5 linked regions of the Mus musculus genome follow. The protein of the gene in region 4 interacts with the protein of the main gene of each other region in a pairwise test. Links are inferred from orthologs where the notes say so. Each region holds a gene or a part of one and is shown on either strand. Other genes may lie near its edges.

What was found.
Region 1: the proteins of Ldoc1 (region 4) and Fosl1 interact in binary tests that used the Homo sapiens proteins (3 or more experiments, as listed by UniProt). The two-hybrid records come from large-scale screens. The link is inferred for Mus musculus from reciprocal best matches to the Homo sapiens genes LDOC1 and FOSL1.
Region 2: the proteins of Ldoc1 (region 4) and Psmf1 interact in binary tests that used the Homo sapiens proteins (3 or more experiments, as listed by UniProt). The two-hybrid records come from large-scale screens. The link is inferred for Mus musculus from reciprocal best matches to the Homo sapiens genes LDOC1 and PSMF1.
Region 3: the proteins of Ldoc1 (region 4) and Nrip1 interact in binary tests that used the Homo sapiens proteins (3 or more experiments, as listed by UniProt). The two-hybrid records come from large-scale screens. The link is inferred for Mus musculus from reciprocal best matches to the Homo sapiens genes LDOC1 and NRIP1.
Region 5: the proteins of Ldoc1 (region 4) and Ap1m1 interact in binary tests that used the Homo sapiens proteins (3 or more experiments, as listed by UniProt). The two-hybrid records come from large-scale screens. The link is inferred for Mus musculus from reciprocal best matches to the Homo sapiens genes LDOC1 and AP1M1.

The regions. Positions count from the first base shown.
Region 1 is NC_000085.6:5,445,782-5,450,778, forward strand, and holds the start of Fosl1 (fos-related antigen 1), read left to right. Parts: upstream 1-1,916; 5' UTR 1,917-2,169; coding exon 2,170-2,274; intron 2,275-4,378; coding exon 4,379-4,570; intron 4,571-4,997.
Region 2 is NC_000068.7:151,738,230-151,743,100, reverse strand, and holds the start of Psmf1 (proteasome inhibitor PI31 subunit), read left to right. Parts: upstream 1-1,790; 5' UTR 1,791-1,946; coding exon of another isoform or gene 1,947-1,961; coding exon 1,962-2,090; intron 2,091-4,871. UniProt on the Homo sapiens protein: Plays an important role in control of proteasome function. Inhibits the hydrolysis of protein and peptide substrates by the 20S proteasome. Also inhibits the activation of the proteasome by the proteasome regulatory proteins PA700 and PA28.
Region 3 is NC_000082.6:76,369,969-76,374,952, reverse strand, and holds the start of Nrip1 (nuclear receptor-interacting protein 1), read left to right. Parts: upstream 1-1,903; 5' UTR 1,904-2,081; intron 2,082-4,984. UniProt on the Homo sapiens protein: Modulates transcriptional activation by steroid receptors such as NR3C1, NR3C2 and ESR1. Also modulates transcriptional repression by nuclear hormone receptors.
Region 4 is NC_000086.7:61,707,619-61,711,668, forward strand, and holds Ldoc1 (protein LDOC1), read left to right. Parts: upstream 1-1,992; 5' UTR 1,993-2,091; coding exon 2,092-2,547; 3' UTR 2,548-3,332; downstream 3,333-4,050. UniProt on the Homo sapiens protein: May have an important role in the development and/or progression of some cancers.
Region 5 is NC_000074.6:72,238,182-72,243,098, forward strand, and holds the start of Ap1m1 (AP-1 complex subunit mu-1), read left to right. Parts: upstream 1-1,836; 5' UTR 1,837-2,020; coding exon 2,021-2,062; intron 2,063-2,070; exon of another isoform or gene 2,071-2,429; intron 2,430-3,542; exon of another isoform or gene 3,543-3,757; intron 3,758-3,763; exon of another isoform or gene 3,764-4,307; intron 4,308-4,756; exon of another isoform or gene 4,757-4,917. UniProt on the Homo sapiens protein: Subunit of clathrin-associated adaptor protein complex 1 that plays a role in protein sorting in the trans-Golgi network (TGN) and endosomes.

The DNA of each region.
Region 1 (4,997 bases), on a different chromosome or scaffold from region 4:
CAGGCTGGCCTTGACTGAGCTCATCTTGTAGCAGATGCTGAGCTTGACCATCTTCGGTCCTCCTGCCTTTATTTTCAGCACTCTGGGGTCACAGAGCTCACCGTCAGGCCTGTCTCTGTGACATTATTGTGTGTATCTCTCTAGCAATTTTCAGATGCAGTTGTCACTGTGCCCCCAGTTCACAAATGCGGAAACAGGAGGTCACAGTTGGGTGAATCATCCTGGATTCACAGTGGATGGTCAGCCCAACCAGAATTCAAACCCAGAACCCAGAGCATTCTGAGTGTACCGTGCATGTAGGCGTATTCTTTCTATGGATTCACTACCAAGACTCTTCTCCCCTCCTCCCCTAATCCCCAACACACATGCCTGCATTTCTCTTTCCTAGCTTAAGGAAAGAGCCCTAGAGCCCTAGAGGGGCTCTAGGCTGGTGATCTTTTGAGGATGCTTCAACAGCAAAGCTCTGTCACATCCGTGGTCTCCTTTGGTCCCATAGTAGCCCTGTGAGGTCAACAGTGAGGCCCACCCCAGACTCAGGAAGGAGACCTCCCCGGGTCACATGGACACAAAGTATAGTTCTATGATGAGATATACTGGCCTCCAGGCCTGAGTCCAAACAGCAGAACCCCAGCCTTTGTTCCCAATGAAGACAGCCCAGGCCTCTGCTTCCCTGAGGACAAGTTTCTTCAGTCTCCATTGAGATGGAAGAAATCAGAGAAAGAGTTTTGGGACCCATGCTCTCCCAGTCTGCCATTCTTCGTGTACGTACAATGTAAAGGCTTGAAGCTCATGGCCTGACTTGGTCACCAGACTCAGCCACTTACTCAGTGGCCTTGAGCAACTCATTTCAATACCTGTCAGCCTCAGTTTTTCCCATCTGAGAAGTGGGGGTTATGATGGCATTTACCTCCTCAGCACACCTGGTCAGGACCTCACCCGTATCAAGGCCTTTCACATACTTCCAAAGTGGGCTGGTGACACACATAGTACTGGAGGAGTGCCTCCAGTCAGACCTTCAGTCAAGAAGCCTTACTGACTGTGTCTCAGGACACCTATGTCCTTCTGTAGGCGCTCTCTGCCTGTAGAGGCCTGGATTAAAGCTTGTGATAGCTCCAGAGACGGTCTCAAACATGTAGCGCCTTCTATCTGTGGGTACACTAAATGCCACTTCACGTAGTATTCAAATATAACAACATTTCATAACCCTGGTTTGTCAATAACCTTTCAGTCTATCAAAAACCTTGACAACAGTTGAAACTGGGTGTGGAGGGGCACATTTGTAATGTCTGCCCTCCACTTGAGAAGTGAAAGCAGGTTATTCTAAGCTACATAAGGAGTTCAAGGCCAACCTGCACAACAAGAGACCCTATCTACAAAAGCCAGGTGTGATGGTGGCACAGTCCAACACTTGAGAGGTGACGGAAGGATCAGGAGTTCAAGGGCAGCCTCAACTAGATACCTGAGACCCTGTCTCAACCAACCTCCCTCCACAAACCACAAGCAAAGCAAACTCAACTAAAGAAACTTCTCACCCCACTTGAGAGGAGCGGTCTTAAGTCAGGACTGCAGACTTGGGTGACAGTTGGAATGATTCTCTCCAGGTAAATAATGATGATGATAATAATAACCCATATTTATAATTCACTTCCCAGCTTTCAGACACTCTCCCCGTTCTTCTTTCTAAGTCTTGGCGCGAGGCCAGGCGGCCACAGGATTTTGTTTCGCCCTGTGTTGGGAACCTTGGCTAGTCTGAACGGGGCGGGGCGCAGTTGCAAGCCCCAACTTCGGCAAGGTGCGTCAGGGGGAATCCTCGGTGCACCTGGGCGCGGCAAGGAAATTGCACCATGTATGGGCAGCTGCGTCAGAGGGGGGCGTGGCCGCCGCGGATGCTAGGGGACGCCAAGTCGGTCGCTTTCTGTCTGTAGAGGCGGCTTGCCACCCGAGCAGAGGGTCGTGAAGTTCCGAGCGGACCGGTCCACAGAGGTTCATCTGGAGAGGTGGGTCCCCTGCGAGGTGAAAGGCGCCGCTGAGACACGCCCCCACCCCCCGTGGTGCAAGTGGTTCAGCCCAAGAACTTTTCATTCATAAAAAAGACCAGACTCCGAGAGGCGCGAGTGAGTCAGAACCGCAGCCGCCAACGCGGACCCTACCGAACATCCAGCCCAGGGCATGTACCGAGACTACGGGGAACCGGGACCGAGCTCCGGGGCTGGCAGCCCGTACGGTCGCCCCGCGCAGCCCCCGCAAGCTCAGGCACAGACCGCCCAGCAGCAGGTGAGACTGGCCGAATCGTCGGGGGGGGGGGGACCTGAGTTTGGACAGCATCAGGGATGCTGGGATTAGTCTAGTTTGCTCCGGGATTTGGACTGGGGCCCCGAGCAGCATCTGACTCTGGTGGTCGCGACCGAGGATCCTGCACGTTCTGTGTGGTCGGGGAACCTATGTACCCGGTGGCCAAGGGGACGAGCGCAGCGGGAAGCGCGAATATCTGCGAATTCCCCTTCTCGCTCGCCCGTATCTCCCTAGCTGACTGTCTTTCTGCCCCTCCGTCTCCGTTACGGTCTTACATTTCCTCCTATCTGCCCCTAATACGCTGTCCCTCTAAATACCTGCCCCATCCCTGCCTGGACAGGATCAGAGGTGTTCTCCATCTCCAGTTAATAACTGGGACCTGGGGTCTGGGCACATAGAGACGGGGTCCATCAGAACTCAGCCGGGACAGAGAATTCTTAGCAGCCTGTCCGAGGCTGTCCGTGTGTTGCTCTGGTTGTCCGTGTCCCTTTATCCGGTCAAGTCCTCATCTCTTTGTGCGCAGTATAGAGCCCATGGGCCCCAGGCAGTGGTTCCGAGGGGTTCCTGGAGACCACGAAGTGTTGGGATGTGCGCGGGGTCACCTGCCCGGCCACACTCGCGCTCCACATTCTCGGCACCCGACGTCTCTCACTGCTGGATAGGGGCACTTGAGAGGTTGCAGGTGTCCATTTCCTGTCGAGGGGCCGCGAGCACGTGTCGCCAGGGGAGGGAAGGAGCTGCGTCCGTTTCGCCGAGTCACAGCGGGCCGAGTCACTGAGGCTGAGTCACCCTGGGTGCCCCTCCCTTCCTGGCCCCAAACGGCCCCTAAGGACCGACGACCTGGGAGCGAGAGATGCCCCTGGCAGTGCTTCTAGCCCAGAACGGGGGTCACTGAGATGCTGGGTCCCCCAGTATTGGGCTGGGGACATAGCTGTCCAGACTTGCCTAAGCATGTGAGGTGCTTCCTGGACTGGAGGGGCCCCACATCCTTAGCTCACAGAGCTTGAACCCAGTTTTCTCTCCCAGAACGCTGAGCCCCCACCCCCACCGACACTCAATCCCAACACATGCCTCAGATTTCTGCAAGAAAAGGAAGGAAAGGATGCCAGACCCCTTATAGGAGGCTTTTACTCTCTTCACTTTATTTCATGGACTTAAAAAACCCCATCAATTTTGAACTTTCAAGTTTTTAAGTCGACAGCTAGGCATGCATTTAATCCCAGCATTCAGGAGGCAGAGGCAGGCAGATCTCTGGGAGTTTGAAGCCAATTTGGTCTACAAAGTGACTTCCAGGTCAGCTAGAGCTACATAATAGAGATCCTGTCTCAAAACTTAAAAAATAAAAAACAAAAACAAAAGCCGATTAAAACTCTGATTTCTGAGCTATGAGAGCTGGCTTCTCAACAGCAATGGAACGTTGAATGATGTTAATAACAGGGAAACTGAGACTAAATAACATGCCCCAGTCTCAAAGCCCATCAATGGCCAAGCTCCAAGCTGATGCTGGACTCCCAAGCTCTGGTGCTACATGTCTATAGTCTTGGTGCCTGGGAGGTAGAGGCAGAGGAATCGTGAGTTTAGGTCTAGCCTGAGCTATGTGAGATCCTGCCCACCCCACCCCCGGCCCCCAAACAACAAATTCTCATCCTGATTCTCAGAATTGCCTTGGGAGCTAGAAGCTGAAAGTATGCCCATCTGTGAGGACTGGGTCTCAAATCTTAGTTTCTACTTACTAGCTGTGGGTCTATGGGCAACTGCTCTCCTGTCTGAAAACAGGATTATGGCAGCTGTGTGAGTCACTATTTGTTAAATAGTTGGAACAGTGTTACGCAGTCCATACTTGATTTAAAACAAAAAACCAAACTATCTCTGGTGGGGAAACAGACAGACGAAGAGAGACATTTTGTGACCTGCCCAAAATCACACAGCTCCTGAACAAGTAAGTTTCTGGTTGCCAAATGTTGCTCCTTGTGGTCTCCCAAAACTGGTATCTACACTGAGGTGAAGGGAGACAGAAGTCCAGCCTCTGTCCCCGGGAAGCCCCTCAGTCCACACAGACCTTATCATTTCCCTTCTTATCTCTCAGAAGTTCCACCTTGTGCCAAGCATCGACAGCAGCAGCCAGGAACTGCACTGGATGGTGCAGCCTCATTTCCTGGGACCCACTGGCTATCCCCGACCTCTGGCCTATCCCCAGTACAGTCCCCCTCAGCCCCGGCCAGGAGTCATACGAGCCCTAGGGCCACCTCCGGGGGTGCGTCGCAGGCCCTGCGAGCAGGTAAGAAACAGCGATGTTTCACTTTCCATAGCCCGTAGGGGTCCTACTAGACAGGGACAGGATCTTGCTACGAGGGAATTTCTATTCAGCATTGAAGTTCCTGAGAGGCCAAGAAGGAGGTAAAAGGTCACCTTTGAGTCAAGGAAGGCTTCCTGGAGAAGGCTACACGTTAACCTAAACCACGGATAGGATTTGCGTATGGAAGCTGAAAAGAATCTTCTGGGAGGAGGGTTGGAGGCACAGAATTGAGGTGAAGGGGACAGAGTGTTAAGTGAGCATGTCTCCACTGTCTGACGTGCACAGGGTGGAAGGAAGCCTGATGCTGGCTTTGTACCTCGGGGTGACTCTTCTTTTCAACAGTCACGGAATCTCAGCCTATTTCTTTTAATTATCACAAAAAGTGAGTGGGCAGTGGTGGCTCACACCT
Region 2 (4,871 bases), on a different chromosome or scaffold from region 4:
GAAAACCTTAAAAGCACTAATAAAGCTGGCCAAAAGTCCAGCCTGTGTTTTGCTATCATCATGAACCAGCAAGCCTAACCTACTTCAGTGATAAAATTCTCAGCCCTTCTGGAGCTGATAGCTTTCTCTGTTGCATGCCTGCCCCCTTGGCACACCACCAAACTCCTTGAGCACAGTGTGGAGCAGTGGTTCTCAACCTTCCTAATGCTGCGGTCCTTTCATACAGTACCTCATGTTATAGTGACCCTCGACCATAAAATCACTTCATTGCTACTCCCTAACTGTAATTTTGCTACTGTTATAAATCACAATATAAATATCTAATTTGAGGGAAATCTGCTATGCAACCCCTGGGGGTCATGACATCCAGGCTGAGGACAGGTGTGGAGAGTAGTTAAAGATGAGGAAGAGATGAGAGGGGCAGTGTTGAGTCTCCAGTTACACGGGGGTAGCTACATTTCCCACCTTGGTGCCTTCACGTATGCTATATGCTTTTACAGGAACATTTCTTCTTTATTCTTCCATGAGAGTTCTGTGCAATTGGCCATTTCTTAATCCAAGAAACCCTTCCTGATCCTTGCTTGGAACATAGGCTTCCTGTGGGCCTTGTATAGCTCTCTCAGCACCCCCAAATGACAGATTTCATACTGGATTGCTTTTTGTCTATTAAAAAGAAACACTACAAAGTTCCATCAGGGCAAGACCTGTGGCATGTTAACCTAGGCATGAGAGCTGAGAGAAGTCAAGGTCACTGGAGCCAAGGAGATCAGAGAATGAAAGGACACTTGGAGGTGATATCAGAAAGGCACAGGGCCTGTGGAGTGAGAGGGTGACAGACCTAGAGTGAACTTCGCCTTTGAGGTGTGGCTTGGGCCTAAGGAACATGGTCTTCCCTGTGTTTTAACAGAATCTCTCTGGTTGTAGGGTGAAACCAGTGTAGCATACAAGGCTGATGCCAGGCAACCAAGAAAAAAAAAATGACAATGGTTTGGGTCATGGTACCAACCAACATGGCAAAATTTATTTGTCTACAAAAAAGTATTGGACTTCAAGAAACATGGAGAAACAACAGGTGGTTAAAAAAATCTTGATGGAGATTGGGGCACAAGTGGCTAGCATTTGTCAGTTATCTCTGGGCTCTAGATGTGGTCAAAAGCTGTGTTTACTTGGGTGAAGTCATTTCACTCTTTCTGCTCTTTATATCACTCGCAAAGTGAGGATGGGTAATAAAATATACCCCATGAATTTGTTGAGAGGGGATGTAAAGGTTTTGGCACAGGATTTAGCATGCAATCAACATACATATAAATGCTATCCTAGAGACCAAATTACCAGTTCCCAGGGGCACCTCTATTGCTCACTGGCTGATTGTGACACGATTTCCAAATCTATGTAGTGGCAGAGTACTGTCATCAATACCAACTGTATAATACTGGATCTGGAAATTTTGATAAATGCATTAAAGTTTAGCATGTAGAATAAAGTGCTATCAGGCAAGAAGTACTGCAGGCATGCTAATAAATTACGATGAAAACATCTAAGACAGATTGCCTAAATTTTCCCCCGGCCTAGTACACACTCCACTTCGCAGATGAGAAGTCTACTGTAGTTGGTAGAAGGCAGTCTCTCCCCAGGAACGAACAGCCTGGCACTCAGCAGTCGCCTGCTGCAGGCAAAAAGGCTTTGAGAAGATAAGCCCTAGCCTGCGCGCTTCTTAGTGGAACCTTCTAGTTCGGTGCAGGTGTTTCCAGCCCGGAGCACGCACAAAGTCAACAAGTATTTCCGGTGCGCGTCTCTGCGTTTCCGCGTTTCCACTTTTCCGCGCAGGTGCGGACAGAGCCGAAAGCGAAGGCGGCATCAAAAGGCGTCGCTGCCGCTCGCGGTCCCGCTTCTCTTAGGCGGAGCGGCTTTCTGCATAGTCCCCTCCTTTTCTTCCTTTCCCACAGAAGCCGCAAACATCCATGGCGGGTCTCGAGGTTCTCTTCGCGTCGGCCGCTCCATCCATGAGCTGCCCGCAGGACGCACTCGTCTGCTTCCTGCACTGGGAAGTGGTGACAAACGGCTACTATGCCTTGGGCACGGGCGACCAGGTACGCGGGTGGAGGGGAGTCTGCAGCCCGAGGCCCAAAGGCCTGCCCTGACCGTGCCAAAGCCAGGGCCCGAGCGAGGCTTCTGATGCCGCACTTTAGCGCGCCTGGTGCTGGTGCCGACAACGGGCACAGCGTGCGTGTAAACTCGGGAACGGACGTGTAAAGGCGTCCCCGACACAGCCGGGGTTGTGTGGATCTGACTGAGACAGGCTAGTAGCTTCCTCAAGGTCCTCATCCACCAGTTTACCCAAAGCATCTGCCGTAGAATACTCCGTGCTACACCCTCAACTCCAAGCATCTGGATTCAAGCACTGGTGTGGCAGTGAACTTTGACCTACTCAGCCATATTCTAGGACCCCTTCTTCGAGGGGACAGTGTTTGGATTTCAGACTTGAATGCTGCGTTTGATTCTTGCTGTCCGTTCTCCTGAAGTACTTTCTGGGCTCAGGCTGCCCTTGCCTCCATTCTCTGCTGATGGGTATGCGTTTTCAGGGTAGAAGCCAAAAAAAAATTTTTTTTAATTAATTAGTTAAAAATTGAGAGGCCATTAACTGTTAATTTATCTACTAGAGAGTTTTATTTTCCAGCCTGTGGCCAGCAGATTAGTAATGCTTGCTGGACTCAGCAGGTATTTGTGTTGGTCCTCTAGCTGCCTCCTGCCACCCTCCTTCTGTGGGTGATGAGAGGAACAAAGCACGCACTTGACTGGGTAATACCAACTCAGCAGCTAAAGAGTCATGCTGCCCACTTTCTCTTTGCTTTTTTGCCTCCAGTGCTATAGAGCTGGGCTTGTAATATTTGATCTCAAGAACATGTTTGTTGACTTGAACAAACAGGCATTGATTGGTCTCCTTATTGAGGGCACGGCTACTCCCCATGAGAGCTCTGTAGCCGTGTGAGATAAGGTCAGTGGAGGGCCATGGAGATGGCCATAGATACGAGTTAGAAAAATTGGCATTGTGTTGTGGGAGTCTGAAGATTATAAAGAGAGAATGACCTGTTTATGTGTGCAGTTTTGGTTGGTTGGTTGGTTGGTTGGTTGCATTCTAGCCCAGAGGCACTAGGGTGAGCCCAGTGGCCATTAAGGAATGTTTCTAGCCTCAGGATTTTGTCTATAGAAGACAGCTAGCTTTACCTTTCTTTACCTTACCAGTCTGTCTGGAAGAATCTCCAGCCTGCCCTGCTCTAACCTTTCATAGGTCGCAGCCACTCTCAGGCCTTTGAGTCTTCATCTGAGGAAGTTACATGGTACAAACATATGCTTTCGTTATCTGCCAACCATAGCCTTGTGGGACACTTGATATTTTATATCAAGGTGCAGAGGACAGCCACATGATGTGTTGGGCCTGTCTAGCTTCTGTTTTCTGTGGAGTATCCGTTTCACCTTACCACAGTGAGGCTGTGAGCTTTACCTGACCCTAGCGATTATTTCTTGCTCCGGAATGAAGGTGTCGAGGTGGGGAGCAGAGCAGGTTGTCTGTAAGTCAAGAGCGCCTGCTGGTAGGGCCAGTGCTGTCCATGTAGGACAGGAGAGAGTCAAAGGTCTTGACTGAACACAGGTAAGGTCTGCCAGCCCTGCCTTAAACACCCGAGTCACCCTTGAAGTCCACACCACACTAGGAAGTTACCCAGAAAGGCAAGAGGGTTTCTCAGGCTGTGGCTAGCTTCAGTTTTGTTTTCTCCTTACTCTCCTGTCTCTGCTGAGGCTACCAGTCTCCTTGTCACCTAGCCAAGTTTGATTGTGACTCCTCTGGCAAAGGATTTCCAAACACCAGGGGTGGCCTCCCCTGCACTTGCTGTGTAAAGTCCTTCATGTGTGGGCCTTTGTCAGTGTTGTCCATCGCCCCACTCCTTCCCATCCCATCCCATCCTACCATGCTCTCATGAACACAGCTTCTGGTCGTGCTGTTTTGTGTTGAATGTGTGCTTTTTAAAGGGTTTTTTGTTTTTCCATAAATGGTATTGGACCATAAACTTTTTCTAACTCCTCCCACTCCCCCTGTAAATTCCCACTTTGTGACTTCTCCCTCTGTACCCCACTCATAACCAACAGAGTCCAGTTAGTGCTTCCTGACAGAATATTGCTTATTTTGGTGACTTGCTCTTACGAAGATGGTATTCATGGGTGCTCTGTGCATGTGTCCAGAGGGGAGAGTTTCATAGAATTACTCCTCCTCCTGGTTCTTTACTGCCAATACACACACACACACATGACGTTTTCTCTAGAATACTATAATTTGATCTAGTGTGTTCCTTCTGACTGCAGTGTAATGTGCCACTGTCAGCATAGTGTGCACTTTACCTCGGCTTCAGCTGTTCAGGCTCACACTGGAATGAAGGTTGACATTGCTTATCAGGCTCCCACATGTATCCACAGCTTCCTTCTAGGAGGACGTTTGAGTCTTGGCTCATACAAACCTCATAGAGCTAAGTACTGCTAGGTGGACTCCCAAAGGGCCTGTGTAAGTCTGAATTCCCAGAAGTAGTGTCGAAGGTTCACTCATGCCCAGTCAAACTAAGTCTTAGGCTGGTGGTTGGGTGTGACCTTCATTCATATAATATATATATATATATATATCTTTTCTGGTTTTTTTTTTTTTTTTTTTGGTTTTTTGAGACAAGGTTTCTCTGTGTTCCCCTGGCTGTCCTGGAACTCACTCTGTAGACCAGGCTGGCCTTGAACTCAGAAATCCACCTGCCTCTGCCTCCCAAGTGCTGGGATTAAAGGTGTGTGCCACCACTACCCGGCTCATCTCATTATTTTAGCTGCCCCCTGATAAC
Region 3 (4,984 bases), on a different chromosome or scaffold from region 4:
CTAATAAGTTACAATTATGCTGGTCATTTAATTTGCAATTATTTGCTTTTTGTCAATCCCGGATAAATGATGCCGGACAGGTAATGATGCCTGGGATTAATGCTGCCTTTACTAATTTGCTTTAAGCAGATTTTGAACTGCGGCATATGCGAGTGCTATGCTGTTACATGAGATTGACACTACCTTAGATGACAACAGATTGCATAGGTGAGTCACTAGGAGGACAGATAATAAGTATTTTAAAATGCACCATCATCGCCATTAAGGAAAATATTTCCTGCATGTGCTCAGGACTGTGCTAGAATATAGCTTTATTAAGAATTGATTTGAAAAATTGCCTTTACTTTAAAGATTGGGAAGATACCCCAGACGTTTTTCATTTGAAAAATCCGAAAAATAGCTATAGAGCTATTATATAACAGTAAAGAATACGGTTGGGTCACTTGGATAATTTTTGGTTTTGGTGTGCATCAATAACTGCTTCCAAATGCTACCGAAATTCTTAAGGATATGAAAACATATGAGAGTAGAAAGCTTCATCCACAAAATTGTCTTAGTAAGTATTTTAAGGCAGGGATAGCACTTCAGAGTTTAGGGTGAATCGAAGATGTACTTTAGCCTTTTTTTTTTTTTTTTAATGTCAAACAAAAACAACTTCTGCAACCACAAGTCTTCCCGCAGGTAATTCTTTTCATGACTAGAGTCAAAAACAAACGAGACAGAGACATCTGGGGTAGGGGGAGCGTTAAAAGGAGGCTTCACAAGTAAGATATGAAGGGAGTAGAGAGAATAGGTTTTAAAAGCAGAAAACACAAGGCGAGGAAGAGATCATGGTTTCTTATTTTTCTCTCCTCCCTCCACTTTCTCGCCTCACCAATCTGTTAGCCCACCTCAAATTTAGAGGCGGGTTCAGCGAGACCAGGCTGCAGGAAACCCAAGTTTCCCTGCATTGCCACCCTGGCTATATGATGTAATTGTTATTTATTGAGACTCTGAACCCAGCAAGAGCTGCTTTAAAGAAGTGACAGCCCATCTCCTAGTCCTGTTGGGTCAGATCCTTCCTGGGGGTGGTGCAGTTTGGCGGGCAGACCCTGCTGGAGACTTCGCAGTGACAAAGCAGCAGAAGAGAAACCAGGTTCCTGGGTCCTGCGTCCGTCTAGGGAGCTAGCTGTGCACTCCTCAGGTCTCCTTTCCAGTTTTCCGCTTGGAATCATGCCATATTTATCACTGGGTCCTACTAGGTGCTGAGCATGGGGTCAAAATGACCTAGAGTTATACAGCGCCGCAGCTTCCGGGATTTGAGCGGGACACAGATTTTAAGGAGGTGGAAATTGAGGGTGGGTAAAGGGCGCCAAAAGAACGCGTGTTTGTGGGGTGAAACGGGAGAAAGGGAGACACTTAAGGTGCCAGCACGTAGGCTGGGGAACCTGGGGTAGGATTAAGGTGCCCCGACGCCCCTGTGGTGCCCCCAGCGTTTGCCCCGGCACGGGTGACATGGGCGATCGCCTGGCCCCTAGCGGGGAATCTGTCCAGGCGGCTGGCTGGACGGGGCTGGGAAGCCAGGGCGCCGGCTCGGGAAGCACAGCACCCCCTCCTTCTCCGGGTCCAACCGCGTCCTCTCTCTGCCTTCAAGGCCGATCAGTCCCGGACCCCCACCCGGAGCACCGGCGAGGAGGCCTGCAGACGCCCGGTGGGCTCCCCGGCTCCGCCGAGCCTCCGGGTGCGCGCTCGGCCCGGGTGACAATGGGAGGGAGGGGCAGAAAAGGGTTAAGAAACTTGGCTGAAGAGCTGAATGGCGTGGAGCAGCGAGGGGAGGGACCCGGCCGCCGCGAAGTCGGCGGCGGAGGGAGGAGCGCGGCTGCGGCGGGCGGGCGGCGAGCGAGGCGCTCAAAGTCAGCCTCGCAGACATTGCAGCAGAGCCCCGAACTCGGGAGGCGACGGCGACCGCGGCGCAGGCGGAGGACGAGCCGGCCCCAGCCCGCCCGAGCGCAGCGCCCGTGGCCTCGCGCGGCCGCAGGGCACGGCTAACCTGGGAAGGAGGGAGCGACGCGGATCGGCGGCCCGGAGCCGCGGCGGCCTCGGTGAGTGGCAATCGCGGCCCGGGCTCCGTGCGGAGCTCGCGGGAGCGGACGCCGCGCCGCCCGGGCACGGCCTGGGTGCGCGGCCCGTGGAGGCGGCGGAGGCCGGGGGAGGCCCGCGGGGAGCTCCGGGAACACGGATCCCGGGGACAGCCCTCCGCCGCGCCCCGCTCCGGCTCTCCCCTGGAACTCGCGGGCCCGGCCGGCGCAGCCGCCAAGTTGTGGAGTTCCCAGCCGCGGGCTCGTCCGTGCCAGCCTTGGCGCGAGGGGCGCAGCCGCCCTGGGTGTTCTGCGCCGGGACCCACGCGGGTGGCCGGGTCGCGGGGCCCCGGTCGAGCTCGCCCGCCCAGCTGCCCCCGTTGGCCCCGAGCCCCGGGCGCTGGCTGCCGCGCCGCTCGGTCCTGCCGCCCAGCGGTGCTCTCGGTGGCGCCCGCGCTGCTCCCCGCCTATCGCTGCCGTCTCCCTTGCGCGGTGCTCGCCGATCCCCGGCCGGGAAAAGTGACTCGGAGAAGGGGCAGCACTGAGCCCCAGGCCCGGCCTGCTGGGCACGAGCTCCCCGCTTGCCGAGGGAGGGCGAGGCTCCTTGCACCCGAGGCCTCAGCCCAGTTCCCCCAGCATCCGAGAGGGGGTTCACTCGCATGAGCCTGGTAAAGTCCGGGGAGACCGCTCTCCTCTCTGGTGCCACTGTCCTCCTTTAATACTATTGTTGTTAGAAGAAACCCTCTAGCGTGCAAACATTCCCCAGACCCTCCTATCCCTTTCCAAAGTACTTTCCAAATTTTAATCAGGAGTTGATATTCAGACTGAAGGAACAAAGGAATCCACTGTGTTTAAAAGGCGGACAGGCAGAGAGTCTGACACATGTTGATCTCTAAGGCATTCCAGGAGTTTCTACCTTCCATCATGTCAGTAATTTAACTGGATTCTGGAGGTCGTAAACGAAAAACGGAACGTTAGGTAATTTCACGTTAAAATACTTTGTCGTCGTCGTTGTTGTTTTAATTAATGGGTCATTTTAGTTGGGGGAAAGTCCGGACATGATTAGGTGCAAGAACTTTTAACTCATTTTTTTGTGGCACCAGGCTGGAGTTTGTCTGCTCATGTAAGCTGATTGTGACACTGAAGGAAAACCGTGTTTTTAGAGAAAGAGAGACAGACTAAAAGTAAACCAAGATTGGCATGTCTGTCTGTCTGTCTGTGTCTGTGTATACGAATACATGCTTAAATGATGTGTGGTCTGTGTTTCTTGGGTTTTGTAAAGCAGGGGCTTTAGTAATTCTTTAAAGTTATGAATTACATTGAACCCGCTTATTAGTGAATCACAGGTTTAGCAAGTGGGCGGCATCTTCCAGATGCAATTATCCAGTGTTTAATCATCAGGTTGCCACCTTTGTCTAAGAGTGAAATAAGTCGACTTTTTAAACAAACGGTGCTTCCTATGCACGGCCCCTAAGAGTGGCTGCTGTCTGGAGTATGTTGAAATCTTCCACTTCCAAGTGAGTTGCCCTGGTTTTGCCCAGCAGTTTGGTAATATCCAACAGGGTTTAATTGATTCAGGGACTTCAAAACCAACAGGAAATTTCTGTACAGGACTTAGTTACTGTAGACAAAGAAGGAGAGTCAGAATTGTAGCAGGCAGTACCTGCAAACCAGATACTTACTCCAGCCTGTTTTATAATAACTCTACTGGGGACACTTCTCTCCACACTTAGCCTTTCAGGGACTGGAGCATGAAGAAAATATACTTAAAAAGTAGACATACAAACTCTAAGGAGGGAAGTTCGGTTGCTGCTTGTTTGTATACAGATGAGTCCTGTGAAGTGCCTTCAAGATACTTGGAAACCAGGCTTCAGTGGCTACGAGAAGACTTAGAGCCACCTATCTGTGTTTCCAAACTTTGCCGAACTTGAATTTTTATAATCGAGAGATCTGAAAATATTGTGCGTTAGCAATGGCAAAATGTTTGTGGATAAGGCCAAGGCTTTGACTCCTACAGCTTTAAGAGCAAAACATTGTGATTAAAAAATAACCTATACCACCACCTAGAGTCTGTTTGTTAGTCTATTGCTCTTGGAGTCTGCTTACGTTGACACATCCCTTATGGTTCCTGTATAGTCAAAACATGATTAGAAGTTTAGGCTTTCCAAAGGCCATCCCGGAGAACAATTATTTCAGTAATGCATAGCAAGTGCCAATTTAAATTACCCATGCCGCTTTCGGAATCAAAAATTATGACATATCAACTCAAGTGGGCTAGTCTCCAGAAGATATTAACTCAAAAGAAAAAAAAAATTTTTTAAAGATAGCTTCTTTTAGCTTGTGCTCCAAGGTGGCTCTGACTGTGCAAAGATTTTCCTGTGTTATTAGAGATTCAAGAAATATTACAAAATAAGTGTTCTCAGTGCCTTGAGAGGTTCTGGGGTGGGGAGGTGGGGGACAGAAGCTATGATTAAAAAAATATAGAGAGGGAGGAGTGGTGCCACTTACCAACAGTTTGGATGTGGAGAAGGTTAGGGAGTAGAGAGTCGATGCCTGTGAGATCATGTGTTTGAGCATACAGTCAGTGTGAAGGGAAGTGCTATACAACCTGTCCTGCTGGAGGACTGTTTGCAGGGAAGCAGTCTGTTAAACAGGAGGCCTGAAGGAGGCACCCTCTGCCATGTGGCTTATCACATTGTCCAAGGAGGGAGTAAGGCTCCTCCTTCCACGGTGTCGCCTGAAAGATGGCCTCCCAGATCTTTAATTAAATATCAGCCGAACAGAGAGAACTAGAGCACTGCATTAATTCTGCCAGACATCACTATTTTAGAACATTGAGGACAACCAAAAAAAATGAATTAACTCCTATCTGAAAGCAGAGTTTTGAGGAAGGTGACAGATGAGGCAAAATATGTCAATCTAATGGA
Region 4 (4,050 bases):
GATAGAGAAGACAATTCAAATATAGATGAGATAGCTGGGAAGACCTTTCTCAAAGCAGTATAAAAATGAGTTAGGCTGCTAAAAGGGAAATAGGATGGGTAGAAGGGCAGAGGCTAGAACTGTCTGATATGTGTGGAAATCCATAGGCAGGTCAGCAATAGAACCTAACAGGAGGTCAGGTGAAGATAGCAAGGAGAAGCAGGACCTTGTATGTTATGACCAAGAGTTTGCTTTTTACTGGGAAAAGCAGAGAGGGAAAAACTATTGGAAGGCCTTGAACAGGGAAGTGAAAGGGTCTAACTCACCTTTTAAAGTGTTCTGGGCAACTTACTGTACAGAGTGCATGCTGCTAAAGGGCAAGGCTGGCAGCTAAGGGATTCGATGTAGCAGGGTAGCAGATAGGACCAGAATTGATTGAATTTGGAGATATATTTTTAAAAGCAGACCCATTGTGTATCAGCTTGATGACCCAGAACGAAACTTAGTTATCAACAACTAATCACATTCAAACTAGGCAGACAGGCTTATTTAACAGTGCACATGGTAGTTTAACTACACAGGAACAAAGGTACTCATAAACAGGACATGATAAGAATCAAAGATAGGATGTTTACAAGTGGACACCCTGTATACATTTTATAAATCTTTTTTTGGGGGGAGGACATTCTTTTTTCTTTTTTATTAAATTTATTTATTTTTTTCACTTTACATCTCAATATCAACCCGCTCCTCTCCTCCCAGTGTCCCCTCTCCTAGGTCTTTCCTCCATTCCACCTTCTCTTCTCTTTTGAGAATAAAAATCCTCACAAAATAACATCCTCCTCCACACACACACACCCAACAAGTCAAACCCTCTCCAAATGAGGACAGACAAGCCAAACCATTTAGAGTAACTGGGTCCTCAAGCAGGCAGGCAGCAGACACAGGGACAGCCCTTGCTCCAGTTGTTGGGGAACCTCCAAGAAGACCAAGCTGCACATCTGCTACATGTGTGCAGGAAGGCCTAGGTCCAGCCTGTGCTTTCTCTTTGGTTGGTGTTTGCAAATCTTGTTAACAAAATTGCTTGTCAAAGAGAAGTCTTTTGTTGCATACTATTTATTTATTTAATGAAAGTGAGTCTACCTGTGAGTCTTTTAGACTTGGAACCCAAATGACCTCCTGCACGGTGGCCCACAGAGTCAGCGTTATTTCTCCGAGTGAGATTTAAATGAGCAAGGAAATGTGTTAACCAACCAGACACTCCTCACCCCCAGAGCTTCCAGGGACTAAACCACCGACCAAAGAGTATACATGGAGGGACCCATGGCTCCAGACGCATATGTAGCAGAGGATGGCCTTGTCAGGCATCAAAAGGAGGAGAGACCCTTGGTCCTGTGAAGGCTGGAGACCGCAGTGTAGGGAAATTCGAGGGAGGGGAGATGGGAGTGGGTGGGTGGGTGGAGGAACACCCTCATAGAAGCAGGGGGAGAGGAGGATGGGATAGGGAGTTTTGAGGGGAGGGAGGCGGGAACGGGGATACCATTTGAAATGTAAATAAAGAAATATCCAATAAAAAGTAAAAAAAGAAAAAAAAATGTGTTAAGAAAGGATCACTTTAAAGAAGCTGATGGCCACAGACCCACAAAGGAACACTGAATTAGATGAACAGGCTGCCTGCAGAAAAGTTTCAGCTGGAGCAGGCCAGCCCTGAGGGCTGAGCATCTGTTCTCCACTGTGGCAAGCTTTGCTCCCTCAGCCTTCCTACTTCCAGGTGGAAGAACTGGCGGGACCCCGCAGCGAAGCTCCTGGGTCACGCCCTGCTCCTCCTCAGCCACATCCACTCTGGCCACCAGTCCCACCCTGACCACGCCCCCACGCCATCCCGCACCCTTCCCAGCCACACCTTCCTTACCGCACTGCGCTAGCGCACAGGTTTGTAAAGTGACCCTGTGGGTGGAGTTTCTGCCGCTGGCTGGGACCCCTCCATTTATTGCCCAGGGTCCGCACTCCTCTGAGGACCCGCACTTCCTGCTCAGCCTCTCTGTGCAGCTCCGTGGAGCCGATCCGAGACTGAGACCGAGACCGAGACCGAGACCGTCCAAGCAGTTAACCATGGTGGAAGAGCTGCTGTCGCTTCTGCACGCGCTTCTGGATAGGCACCAAGCCCTGTGCATGGAGAACCACCAGCTCCTGAAGCAGCTGCGACTGTTGGTGTGTGAGCGGGCCAGGCTGCTGCGCCAGGTATGTCCACCGAGCTGTCCGGTGCCCTACCCCTCACGGTTTAGCGGCGAGAGTGGTCGGCTCCCTGAGTTTATCATGCAGACCATGTCTTACATGCTTGCGAATGAGGAGCACTTCTGCAATGATGCCATGAAAGTGGCATTCTTGATCAGCCTCCTCTCCGGGGAAGCTGAGGAGTGGGTGATGCCTTACATCGAGTCAAATAGCTACGTCCTCGGTGATTATCAGGCCTTTGTTGATGAGATGAAGCAGTATTTTGGCTGGGGTACCGACGACGAAGATGATGGTGATGATGATGAAGAGGAAGAAATGGAGGAAGATCACTAGGCCGGAGCCCCCTTAGGCCTAGAGGTGGGGGCCTTCACGCCTTTTCATTCCAACCCCCCACCCGCCATTCCTGCTGCCTCAATCTCTCCCTTTGCATGGCCATCCTCTTCCCCGCCAGTCTGTTTGCTCCATCATTCCCTTCAGGACTTGTCTTTGTTCCAGTTACCTGCTGTGAGTTGGGCCTGGACCTTGCTCTGAAACTCACTTTGGCCTCAGGCACTTATCCTAATCTGAACTCTGTTCGGAGTTCCAGCGATTTTCCAGGTCCCTATTAGAACTGGTCAGACCACCTGCATTCCTGCTGCTGACATCCACTGGAACTCAGGCCAGTCCGCCATCTGCCCAGAAGCAGATTCCTGACATTTCACCTCCACTCACCGAATTTCATCTGAAGCACTTTTCAAGATAAGGACCAAGAAGATGATGGAGTTGCTACTCCACCCATTCAGACTCTGTTTTGGACTACTCACCAAACCTTGAAGGGGCCAGCCAGTCTTTACCGACTGGTTAGTTCTGTACGTACTACCAGGTTCCACATCTGCCTGACCAGAACAGGAACCTGATGTGCCTGCCGGACAGTTAAAATGTTGACATGTCTTTTCTCCTATGCATCAGTTTTGCACAGCACGTTTCCTTTCAGAACTGCAGCAGCCTCACAGATGTGTCCATGTGGACAAGGACTACTAAAATAAAAGCAAACGGACAGGCATTCAGCCCAGATCCTCTCTAGTACTTGAAAAAAGCAATGTAATTCTTTGCAATAAATATCAAGCACTGCAAAACTAGCAGCAAACTGTTGTCTTTTCATGGTTAAGTGCTACCATTGGCTATTGTGACTCACCTCCATTATTTCATTGTGGTTGGGGAACTTGGTTCAATCCCAGTATTCTCACTTTCATTTTTGGGCTCCAGGGGGCCCTGTCATAGGGTTTTAAAAGCTGTGGTGAAGGAGCATTGTCTGGGGCTTCCAAGGTGACATATAAAGGGTGGCTGGGTAGGGGGGCTATCATCTTAAATTAGGTCACTTTGGAGAAATAAAGGGACATTATTAACATTTAGACTGACAGTAGAGGCATATTACTGGGCACAGTGAAGTTTCCTAACATGGCAGAGAAGTTTTATCCATTGTCCTTCTTTCCTGTGGGTGGCAATTAGCAAGATGCTTATGTCTCCTGAGCTAGAACCTGGACTGGAGTTTGTGAGTTGACATCTCTCAGACAGTCCAGAGGGTAGGTACTGAGAATTATCTGCCCAGCTTTGTTTGTGTGTCAGTCCATTATGTTACCCTGCTGAAATGAACTTGGTAAAGGGGTATACACGGTAACCAGGAAATATTGGAAAGATCTAGGGTTTCCTGAATCTGCCTGAATGTCATTTTACTGGTTTAAAAGCGAATTCAGACATAGAACTTTTAATTAATTTAAATAATACATCGTGGTTTAAGAGTTTCAGGCATGACCACACTTATTTATTAAGCTGCTAAACCTCAGGGAGGAATGAAAT
Region 5 (4,917 bases), on a different chromosome or scaffold from region 4:
TGTTTAAACCTATGTTGTTATAATAATGATCTGTATACTAAGTTATAAGGCTTACAGGTGGTGCAGAAAGAAGTCTGATCACAACTGGCTACAGTGAACAAGCTGGGTACCCCAAGGACATCTTACCAGTTCCAGCCAGAGATCTGATCTGCGTACACCTGCGTCATGCTGAGACCCTCAAGCCTCACTAGAAGGGTCCCTGCCTAGTTCTGTTTACTAATCTGCCTTATTCTGTTGTTGTTCCCATGTTAAAGATAGAGTAAATGCAGTATTCTCCACATAGAGATATAGACTTCTGAAATTCTAAGATTAGAATTACTTACAAGAAGAAGTGGGGAATGAAGAATGAAAAATTACTGGCCTCTTGTAAGAACATGAATTTTTTACCTCGGAGCCCACCCCCTCCCATCTAGAGATTGTTCTCGGAACACTCCTAAACTTTTCACCCCAAAACTCCTCACCCTAAAGTTCGAAAAAACTGTTCCAAGAACATTTTTGAGATAAAGGCCTCCTGACGTAGATTCCTTGATAGGACATGACTCCTTAGTTACCTAGATTCCTTTGGCAGAACTCCCTAGTGATGTAAACTTGTACTTTTCCTGCCCAGTTCTCCCCCTTTGAGTTTTACTATATAAGCCTGTGAAAAATTTTGGCTGACTGTCGAGACTCCTCTACCCTGTGCTAAGGTGTATGAGTTTCGACCCCAGAGCTCTGTGTGCTTTCATGTTGCTGCTTTATTTCGACCCCAGAGCTCTGGTCTGTGTGCTTTCATGTCGCTGCTTTATTAAATCTTACCTTCTACATTTTATGTATGGTCTCAGTGTCTTCTTGGGTACGCGGCTGTCCCGGGACTTAAGTGTCTGAGTAAGGGTCTCCCTTCGGGAATCTTTCACTATGTGTCACACAAGTAAAAAACCACACAAAGTAAAAAACAAAAAAAAGCCCTTGGGGCGGGGAGGAGTGTTGATGGGCTCCTTTGATCTCTCGGTGGCAGAAAGGTGGTTAAGAATGGCAGAATTTGCCGGGCGGTGGTGGCGCACGCCTTTAATCCCAGCACTTGGGAAGCAGAGGCAGGTTTATTTCTGAGTTCAAGGCCAGCCTGGTCTACAAAGTGAGTTCCAGGACAGCCAGGACTATACAGAGAAACCCTGTCTCGAAAAAAGAAGAATGGCAGAATTAAAATTTAATCAGCCTTACTTTGGTTTTGTTTTTTTGAGACAGGGTTTCTCTGTATAGTCCTGGCTGTCCTGGAATTCACTTTGTAGACCAAGCTGGCCTCGAACTCAGAAATCCGCCTGTCTCTGCTTCCAGAGTGCTGGGATTAAAGGCGTGCGCTAGCTACCACGCCCGGCTCAGCCTTACTGTGAATTAGGCACAGGCTAAGTTACACACGTGCTACCCTGGGTTCACTGGGGCAAGACGGGTGAAGCCCAGTCAGTTGAGAGGTTGACAGTGACAAGTGATTGCTGATAAGGCTGGATTGCCATTGGGAGACTGACTTCCTTTAAGCGCCACCTAACGGCGAGTCACAGTCAGTGACGGGATATTAGTTTACTTGACTTCTGCAGAAAGCAAGGCTGTCTCGAAAAAACAAAAAAAGAAAAAGAAAAAAAAAGGCTCAACTCCAAATCGGTTCCGCTTTCAGCGTCTTCTCACAGCAACAGGCTTGGAAGCGTCCACCTTCATTCCACAGCTAGTCCTTCAGGTACAAGGAGTAATGACAAAGCTGCCCCGCCCTGGTCCTCCAGGCCCCGCTCTTCAGGAAGGCCACGCCCCCTGACTTCCGGCCCGTTTGAGCTATGGGTGAAAAATACTGCCAAAAAGTTCCTACTGCGCTTGCACTCAGTTACGCGCCTGCGCACTTGCGGCTCCCTTCAGACCGGACATAACGGTCCACGCGCTGCTTCATGGACCGGAAGTGGAGGGGAAGTGTCTCGGGGCGCGCCGGGCCTTGCTGAACGCCCGCAGTTCCTGCCGTTGCCGCCGCCCTCGGCTACTGCCGAGACCTTCCAAAGCCGCCATGTCCGCCAGCGCCGTCTACGTACTGGATCTGAAGGGCAAGGTACTGAAGGGTTCGCCACCCTCCGCGTTGCCAGGCAACCAACGGGCCCTCGCCCTGTCAGGACCCACCCTGTTGCTAGGCAACTGGCCGACCAGCCCAGCTAGGGCGTCAGGCAGGCGGGGCAGCCTCACTTGCCAGCCCTACCAAGTTACTAGGAAATGGGCGGTGGTCTTTCCGCGAGTCCCGCCCCATTGCTAGCCAACTTGGTGGGCTGCGGTTGCTAGGTAACTGTCCGCTTTGCCCCTTTCCCTTTTTGTTCGCCTGGGTACCGGACTCTAGCTTCTCCTGCGAACTCCTGTAGCAGGACCCTGCGCCCCGGGGACCGTGCGACCCTTGGCCAGAGGCGTGGCGGGAACTATGGCCTTAGGTCGGTCCCTCGCTCCACAGGCTTCAGCGTTCCCTAGAGCCACTGAGCTTCCTATGACATTAAGAGAAGCGGATGATAAAAGTGTGGTTTTAAGAAGGGCGTGGTGGCGCACGCCTTTAATCCCAGCACTCGGGAGGCAGTCAGGCGGATTTCTGAGTTCGAGGCCAGCCTGGTCTACAAAGTGAGTTCCAGGACAGACAGGGCTATACAGAGAAACCCTGCCTCGAAAAACAAAAACAAACAAAAGTGTGGTTTTAGAGGGGGAAACAGTGCCTAGAGTCACACTGATTACTGGGAAGTAGCGGCCTGGAAGCATCCTCGCCAGGCAGGTGCTAAGCCCAGGGCCACCGTGGGTTAGCCTAATCTGTCATAGCTCAACTTAGTCACTTGGAAAAAACAGAAATAGATGAATACCTATTGGGGCCATGTCTTCATAATGGACTAGCAGCTGCAACTGAAGAATCAGGGAGAGCTATCCTGACTGGGAATAACAAAGACTGCTGAGACATGAAGGCCCTGCACAGAAACAGGACCCTGGCATCTTGCCCAGCGTTATCTGAGAAAGAAATCTTCATTTGTGTGTTTCTGCGGGTGTGTGGAGGAAGGAGACCCCTGCTACTCTTACATGGGCTCTTGTTATCGAACTCGGGTCACTAGACTGATTGAGCTAGGCTGCCTGAACCGTTAAAACGCATGGATCTGCCTGTCTGTACTTCCCAGCAGAATCTGACTTTTTCCCTCTCTTGGTTTTATGAGACAAGTTTTCTCTGTGTAGCTCTGGCTGTCCTGGAACTCACTCTGTAGACCAGGCTGGCCTTGAATTTAGAGACTGACCTGCCTCTGCCTCCCAGGTGCTGGGATTAAGGTATTTGCCACCACCACCTGGTAAGCACCTGGCTGTTACCTGGGATTTGGGTATAGAGTTCAGGTCGGATATTTGGAAAATACAGACTGAGCTGTCTCCCTAGCATAATGGATGGTTTTGTGGTGCTGAGGATAGAGCCTAGAACAACAAGCTCTCTGTCAGGCAGCCACAGTGTACTCTATGCAAAAGCCTCTTCCAGGAAGGCACATTTAGCCTTAAGAAAGGCACTGTCTGTCGCTCTACCTCAGGCTGTCAGAGTGGAAGGCAAGTGGCCAGCCTCTTATGTTTGGAAGCTACCAGAACAGGTCCAGCCACAGTAAACAAGTCCAACATTTAGCAGTGAAAGAACATTGATGTCCAGTCTACATGGAAGAGCTAGAGCTTAGAAGAGCCCCACCCTCCACGTTTTCCTTAGTCCCTTGAGTGTGTACCTGCCTTGTATGTCACCCAAGATCGACAACTGGTGAGTTCCAGACCTGGGCCTCCTCCACAGCCTTCTGGGAAGCTGGGTAGGGGCAGTGTTCCCTAGGTCTCATGACATATGCTCTGCCTTCCAACCTGGCCTAGAGGTACAGTGGGCTGCCTGTCGTGGCTTGCTTGTTCCTTTAGCAAACATCTCATTGGCACAAGCAAGTACCCATCCTGGGCTGAAGCTGTAGAGCCATATTTACATGTGGATTCAGCCAATCTCCGCAGCTGAGCTGTATGATCATAGACAAGCACCTTGGCTCAGCACCTTGGGCAGTCTGAGCCTTGCTTTCCTAATGGATCTGAAGAGCCTTATCTGAGTTATTGAGTATAGATGTGAGACAAGCCTGGCCCTAGCAAGGTCAACAGAGCATAGTATTTGGGCTCCACAGGCCTCTTGACCTAGCAGAACACTTGGACCAGCAACTGAATAGCTATTTGCCTTCTGTTTGGCATTTAGAGAAGGTTATGAAAGACATCCAAGCAGAGCAGGCACCTGATGTGGTTCTGAGAAGGTGACAGATGTCCCAGTTGGCATGCCGGGTGTAAGTCAGCCCATAGACTGGTGCTGGGACTTTGGGGATGCAATGGGAGGAAGCTCCAGGGCCACTGCAGTTCCAGGCAGGAGTCCCCAGGTTGGGATGTGGTCAGACCTGTCTCTAGAAAGCTGTAGTTTCCTGCCTCCTTCTAAAATCAAACCAGCCTCATGACAACATGCCACACTGAGCCTCTCATTACCAAGGGATTCCATGTGGCTACTTTTGGCAAATAGGAGGTCCTCCAAGAACACTTGGATGCTGTCTGTGGCTCTGGTGACTCTAGATTTGGAGTACAGAAGTATTGCTTTCCCGCCTTCCTCTCTCCATGCTTCCCTTTTGGGCACTGAGAACAAAGTCCCAGTTGTTCACAAGGACTTGTATAGTCTGAGTTCTCATAATCTCCCTACCCTCCCACCCAGTGCTTTTCCATGTGACTCTGGCTCATTCCACTTTAGCCAGTGGGAACCCTAAAGCAGGTGTTGAGACAACCTGTCTGCTTCTGCCTTGGGACCTTTGTACCTGCATCTGTGGAGAGCTGTGTGGCCTGGCTTCAGTTCAACAACACCTCCTCCAGGAAGCCTCTCCTGCTTGCCCTAACTGGGATCGTATCCTACCC